Linked DNA regions of Drosophila melanogaster. The protein of the gene in region 1 interacts with the protein of each later gene in a pairwise test. Each region holds a gene or a part of one and is shown on either strand. Other genes may lie near its edges.

Region 1 (3,277 bases):
AGACCAATTTAATTTGTTTGTTTTACTAATCAGCGGCACGTACTCGCACGTTTTTTGCGTCAAAGTCTTTAGTGCGGTCTTTAGCTGAATTCTGTTCGCCGATATTGGAGCTCTTTTTGTTGCCATCGCTGCTATTGGACGGTACGCTTTTGACCAGGTCGGGCGTATCGGCTGCCGTTTGGCTAAACAGCCCACGTTTAAACATGGCTCAGAGCGTGCTAATCAAGTGGCTACGAAAACAAAATTACGCGACCGACTGAGCAAAAGCCAGCTTTGACTTTGTCTCGTTTTTCATATATTTGTGGTTACCTTTCCAGGGGGTTCTTCGATTTTTGAAAGAGGTTTGTAACACTGAAAAATATACCCACAAGCTTAAGGTATATATGAAGAAAATTTAAACGATTAGATGTCATTTTTGGTCATAATTAAAATCGAGTTATTTTTACAACTTCAGTATTATCAATGATATTGATCATTGAAGCTTCGAAAAGGGTATTTAGACATTGGCTGAAAAATATTTATTTTCCTCCTCTTTTTTTTGATTGACTTTGGTTTTTATGTTATTTGGTCGCGTTGCGTTGAAGTTGGTTTTGGCTTTGGACTCCGGTGAAGCCAGGGGATTTGGGGCTAGGGCTGGGCCGTCGTTTGGGTACGCTTTGATGGCTTCTAGGTGAAGGTCATTGTGTGACTGAAATGTTAATTTGACTGACTGTCGTACTTTTATGCCGGAGTGCCTGGGCTATTTCAGTTGTATCTTTTTAATGGCACTTGCTAAGGTTCTATACACCTAGAAGTGGGTATTCATGTCGGCTTAAAAACCACTAAACAAAACTCAAAACCAACTTTGATTTGTTGCGCCGCTGGTATGCGGCGATTTTTAAATGACTGACATTTGCTAGCAAGTCGACATAATATACAAAAGCATCAGAAAAAGTTTGAAATTTTTTAAAATATACATTAATTATAGAATTGAAGTTGAGGATATTAAAATAATTAAAAACATATTTGTGGTTATTATTTCAGTTGCCAGCAGAGTTTTTATATTATATAAAGAATTTTCTGAAACGTTTTAGAAATGACTAAAAACGATCCGTGTAACAGCTTACTTTGATTTCAATGGCGCAGTCTTAGACTCCAATGATGGCGATGCAAATGAGCGACATATTTGCAGACAAGTCCACCAGCAATTCGGTGAATGGGCGGGCGTCTGCTTCCCCGGAGGATAATGAGCTGCAGCCCCCGTGAATCGAGTCTGGTGGCCCATCTAATGGTGTTGTTCGCATGGTGGTTAGATGGTTGAATGCTGCAGCTACAGCAGCAACGATTCAGCACCGTTTTGCTGATGCGGCACACTCCAATGCCATAAAAGGGCATTAGCCTCGTGAGTAGATTGCATGTTTTTACCACAGGTTTTCGTGGATGGGCTCCCGTCTTTTGGGGTGGCAAAGTGAGGTTGTACTGGCAGCTGAGTGCGCGCGCTTTGGAAAATTGAATAAAGTGCCGGAGGAGCCAACGAAGGATTGAGGCAACGAAGCGGAGTAAAGTGCTCGATGCTGGCAGCCAAGTCATTTAAGGGTTGCCGGCAGCACTCACATCGGCCTACAAGGAAAGATGAAATACAGTCGCTTTGCTAAGTTTATAATCCCTTATTTAGAGTACATTTTCTGACTACCCAGCTAACTAACACAACTCTAGTAACTGACAGATGATTGGCATGGCCGAGAATTTTCTCAACAGACATAGCAATTATTTGGAATTAATCATAGACTTATTTGCATGACTGTTGATCCGCAAGTGGCAACGTGTCGTATGCGCAATGCTTGCTCTTGCTGGGTCTGCGATGATTCAGAGGGGACTCTAGTACCGCCCAACGCATAAATATGAATGAGGAAATCGAAGCAGCTTGCCACTTGGGCTTAGCCCAGACTGGATTTTCCAGAATTCCATTGAACTTATTACTGACCGACACGATCCATATAAAAACGAAAGAAATTGCATCTGGCTATGCAGTTGCCGGCGGTGCATTGATCAGCATGATGAGCCGCATCATATCATTGCTTCTCCTATTCGGAATCATTTGTGCTGCTCTAATTGCCGGCCATCCGCACGACCTTATTGAAGATCCGGAAGGTACCAATGATGCTTTGGAGGAATCTGGCAGTGGATACAACAGTGCCGAAGAGTTCATGAATGCAATGGACGAGCTGATCAGACGCTGGCAGGAGAACGATGCAGCTCATGAGAACTCAACTGACTATCCAAGTCTTGATGACGATGAGACGACTTTGGATTTTATGGATATTACCACCGAACCGGCTACTTAATATGGAATTATTTAGTAGTGCTGTAATGCTAAGTCATGCTATCCTATTGTCTGTAAATAATCTAGTTCTTCAATAATAATTATTAAGGGAAATAAAAGAAAGTTTTTAGAAATTTTAAAATGAAATCAATCAAGAGAGAATCAAGAGATCTTCATTTTTTGATAATGAATGTTGCCTACTCCGCAATTTCGATTTTAAGTACGCATTAAATACTAGTCATAGATTGAATTTAATAGCTCGTTTAGTATATCAATTAAGCTTGTGGTAAGCTGTGTTGCTGTTAAGCTGGAATTTCCCGCACTCACCTCTGTCTAAAAGTATACATATCACCTTTAAACCAACCACTTAGAACTGCTGATAACCCAGGGCAAGGCTATAAAAGCCCAGCTCAAGAGCCGACTGACATTCAGTCAACTGTAGCCAGAGCTAATCGAAAGAAAAATGCAATCCATTCTCCGACTGCTGGTGCTGTTTGGATTAATCTATACCGCGATCGGTGCATCGGGTATATTTCAGAATATAAACCTCGGTGGCGAAGGAGGAAGAACACGATCTTCAGGTGGCAACTTGGACTGGAGCGATAGTGTTCACAGTTCTGATGACGATAGGACTCTGAAGCTACTGGAATCGTTGGATAACAGTGGCAATGATAGAAATAATTGGGGCAACGATGCGGTGAGGAATTCTGGATTCGATACCGATAGATCCGCAGGAGACTCAAAGGAAGACGCTCGCGGATTCCAGTTTATACACATAGGATAAATGTTACGATGTTAAAATACTCAATTTAAATAAAAGAATTTTTAAAAGATTAAGAAATAAGCATTATAAAATGCTTTAGATTTTATTACTTAACAAACGTATTTATTATTTTATGAACTGATCTTATCTAACAAATCCAATGGGCCTTGACCCATTTCGAAATCAGTTCCGCCTGTTTCATCATTGAGAAT
Region 2 (4,321 bases), on another chromosome or scaffold:
GCTTTTGGGCCGGAGTTGCAAGAAGGGTGCCTTACGTTTCAATTGCCAATCAATGTGGCACATCGAATGCAAATCAATTACGAAGTCATTAAGCCGGAGGCAATAACTTTGTCAACAAAGCTGACGGTCTGAAATGGAAACCCACAAGCGAGGCACCAACGAGCCGCCAACCGTGAACCGTGATCCGTCACGAAAGCGAAAGCCACTTTGCAAATGCGATCCCCGTCTGGCCGAGATCGAGGTGGCTTCCACGTCCACTTGGCTCGAATGCCCTGCACCGACTGCGTTTTGTGAATGAAGAATTTCGGACTCCGAACCGGAATCGGAATCGGAATCGGTTTTTTTTTGGGTGGGGGGGGGAGGTTCGTTTATGTTGCCAACAAACAATCAACAAAATCGCAACGTTGGCAAGGAGTCGCCTGTTATGCTGGCTCAGGCTCTCCTTACAGTTCGGTTCTTTGTTCCATTTCCTGCTCACACCCACACGTCAGACAACCATCCACCGAAGCACACTGAAAGAAATTGGAGTGATCTAGGAAAAATTAAAAAAGGTAATGTCCCTTACAAATGAGCTATTATACTCGATTAGTAAATGTATCCTGTTAATAATTGGTTCGTTTTTTATATGAAAAACTTTTAAAAACTTAGGTTTATTGTAATATTTATTTTTGCGAGTTGTTGAAAAACTCCCAAAATTAAAATATTGTAGAATATAGAACGCCAAAATTTGGCTTATACACAATCGCGCCTGCTTCTATGTTTGCAATCTAAGTACCAATTTCGTTTCCGGTCAGAGTGCACTTTATTTTGCCCAATGCATCCGTCGATCCACCTGCCAACCCCGGATCAACCCACTCCTCCCCCAAAGACACGTGCAATTCCGGTGGGTCTGGCAAGTTTTCGACTGCGACTCAATGAACCCGCACGAACTTTTGTTTTCATTTGCGAATCACCCACCGAACGCCTCTTAATCGAAAGGATTACGGCATTTTTGGCAAATATGCAAATCCGGCCATGAATGAATGAATAGTAGCCAAAAAAAAGAAGCAGGAAAAAGGCTGGCAGAGTGGTGAGAAGAGGGGAGGAGGAGGAAGGAGAAATGCGTACAAGTCGCTCAATGTCAGCAAAATGTTAGATGCAAATTCAGTTGTTGCCGGTATTAGTATGAGTATGAGTATCTGTATCTGCGGATGGGCAACCGGATGGGATGGCAAGTGAAAAACTTTCACATTTGTGACAATTTCAAATTCATCAAAGACATGCAAAGTTCGGTGGAAAAGTTCCGTGCGCGGTGGCAATCAAAGGAAAGTAACGAACATAGCAAAATGGAGCCGATTCGAACGGTGGCGGCAAACACAAACACAAAATGGCATAAAACCGTAAACAAAAAAAGCAAAACCAAATCAGGCCCACTTCAAGGTCACATCCGCATACATTCGTATGCCTGTTAGCCAAAGTATTTATACGATAGTATCCGATTTTCCGATTGCCAATAAAATGTACTTAAAACAAAGCTGAAAGCCCCATTCCAGTTGGATGGGCATTAATCACTGCCACCAGTCAATACTCGGTGCTTATGGCCCGACTTTGAAGACTCCCCCAACGATTGGACAGGACTCCCGTTTCCTCTGACACTGCTGCAATTCGAAATCAATTGCAATCGAAGTGCCATAAATATTGGACTTAGTCGTAACCGATCACAGAACGGTACCATAGCAAAACTGTCAGACGAAAACTTATTTTAATTAGAAATGCAGTCGGTACGAAATTACTGTGACTGGAACGGCCTGGACTTTATCTATTGACTTTAAATTAAATAGATACTTACATACATATTTTAAATGAAGTCAGCCCAACGTAAATGTATTGCAAAAGGAATCCCCTCAAAGACGTTTTAGACAAGGAACTTTGGGTATTTGCCTAAGTACAAATTAAGCCACCAATTTGATCAAAGTTCACTTTGATGTTTTTAATATCAGCGCAATAGCGATCTAAAGCAGAATCCTCCAAAGTGATGGATTGCATTCGGTACTCGATCATAGCTGAGCAATTTTTCCTTAAAACATTACAATTTTGTATAAATATAATTTAATAAGAATTTTAGTCTTTTAATCAAAGTAAGACTACAAAAATTTAACCTGTTGGTGAAGAATTCTATTTGTCATTATATTTTTATTTATAAATTTAATTTAATTTATTAATATTTAACTTTAATATAATTGTTTTTTATTTAAAATTCGATATTTTCAAATTATATATTTGAAATTGAAATCGCTAGAAATTGAATTGATATGGGAGGAAATTAAGTCTACATATCTCAATGCCCCTATAATTAGGAAAGATTTATTTTGACAGGACTGACATCATTAGTAATAACTTTATTCCAAATAAAATGAATCCCATATTTTTATATTTTTTATGTATACGCACTTATTTTTAATACTTGTATATACAAATTTTATATGAATTTTATAACATTTACGTATACGTACTAATTGCTATCATATTCGAACGACAAACATTCCCGGAGAAATCTTAACATATAGATGTCATTAGGAAACTACAAAAAACCGCTTTCTAAAACTGTATTTTTAGATATAACAAGTAAAAAATCGGAAAAATTTACCACGGGCTACTAGCTATTTTGTAGCTATTCTCGACTGAGCGTTGCCATCCCTGGTCACGACCAGTGTGACCATCGAACTGGTACGACTTCGGCAATTTTCGTAGCTGTCAAGTGACGTGACGTATGTATGGTGCTGTCGTGGCGTTCGCTTCCAGAGAGAAAGAAAGTCGCAGGTCGCCGAGTTGGATAGCCGTAGAGTTCCGCCTATTCCATTGATTACTAAATAAAAACCACCTCATAACTTGATCAAGATGTCCCGTCAACTGTTCGCCATTTGCCTGATTGCCGCCGTTTGTGCGTCCGGCGTCTACGGTAGCTGCAAGGCCACCGTGAGCTCTTTCAGCACCCAGGATGCCACGATTCTGACCCAGCTGGCCCATGTGGGCGAGTTCACGCTGCAGTGCAGCGGAGCCGCTCCCGCCAGCCTGTTCGCCGAGTTCCCCTGCGGCAAGGTGGTGCCGGTGGCCAAGGTGGGCGACAACAAGTACCAGGTGAGCCAGTAGTAGCCCCGTCAAGTTTTGTGCAAAGGCTAATCTCTGTTCTGCACTAGGTGAGCTGGGTGGAGGATATCAAGCAGGGCAGCAGCGGCAATGTTCAGGTGCGTCTCTTCGACGAGGATGGCTATGCCAATGTGCGCAAGGCCCAGCGGGATGGCGACAAGGTTTCATCGGTGAAGTCGCTGCTCGACATTTCCGTGCCCACCAAGGGTGCCTACAAGGGTCCCTGGATCAAGGCTGAGCTTTTGGCCGCCTTCTTGGTCGGCGGATTCGCATACTTCGCCTTCACCACCAAGGGCAAGGTGCAGTCCTAAGTAGAGGATGCCTTCGTCATCGAGATTTTGAATGAAATTCATTCGCACTAAAGTCATGTACCATCAAATTGCCGGGTCCCGGAGATTTTTCCACATTTTGTACACCTAAGCATCGGATCACCCGCCGCTCCAAAATAAACTGATTGAAAGACCAACCGAAGGAACCTAGTTGAGATTAATTTAATTTTAATTTAGAGATAACTTGTACGAATACGCTTAAACCTGGCCCGTGGAGGGCGCTCCATTCATGGTCGCCTCCTCGTCGGAGGAGATGTCTATCATGCTCTCCACACGCGACGGCGACATCACATACACAAAGTGCTCCGTGGAGCCCTCGGGGCCGACTGGCGGCGGGGGTATGACCACGGAGCCGTCCTGCGGCGGCGGTGGCGGAGTATCTATGCTGCAGTACTTGAGATTCCCAGCTCCTCCTCCGCCTGAATCATCCGGCGGTGGCGCTCCACCGTTGCAATCAAAGTTCTCCAGCTCTAGCTCCAAATCACTGACGATTCGCATGCAACGCATCTTGGCGAGCGACTGGAATTTCATGGGCATAGCTCGCACCTGCCGCGCCAGACTCAAGAAGAAAAGAGTGTTTGCGTCAAGTTCTCTGTTGGCCTGTAGCACGGCAGAGACGTCCCAATCGCTCGGAAAACGCGGATCGCAAATCTTACGCGTTTTGGCGGGCGACGGCTGTTGTTGCTGTTGAATTTGTGGCATTTGCATTGACTGCTGCTGCTGCGTTTGTACGGAATTCCCTCCGGAGCAACTTAGGTTGATGGCCGTGGTTTGCGGCGAAGGTTGTACCCTTCGCACCTTGGAGGCTGGTGGCGCTGGCGGCGGCGGCGGAGGAGTGGGATTACCCATGGGTAAGCTCGGGCAGC

What was found.
Region 2: the proteins of CG16978 (region 1) and Tapdelta interact in a two-hybrid assay, tested with the Drosophila melanogaster proteins (one large-scale study listed by BioGRID).

The regions. Positions count from the first base shown.
Region 1 is NT_033779.5:13,142,354-13,145,630, reverse strand, and holds CG16978 (uncharacterized protein), read left to right. Parts: upstream 1-2,008; 5' UTR 2,009-2,033; coding exon 2,034-2,324; 3' UTR 2,325-2,417; downstream 2,418-3,277. Other genes in the region: CG9928 (uncharacterized protein), read left to right, coding at 2,766-3,086.
Region 2 is NT_033778.4:11,369,569-11,373,889, reverse strand, and holds Tapdelta (Translocon-associated protein delta), read left to right. Parts: upstream 1-2,554; 5' UTR 2,555-2,877; coding exon 2,878-3,117; intron 3,118-3,176; coding exon 3,177-3,437; 3' UTR 3,438-3,590; downstream 3,591-4,321. Other genes in the region: CG13204 (uncharacterized protein), read right to left, coding at 3,654-4,321.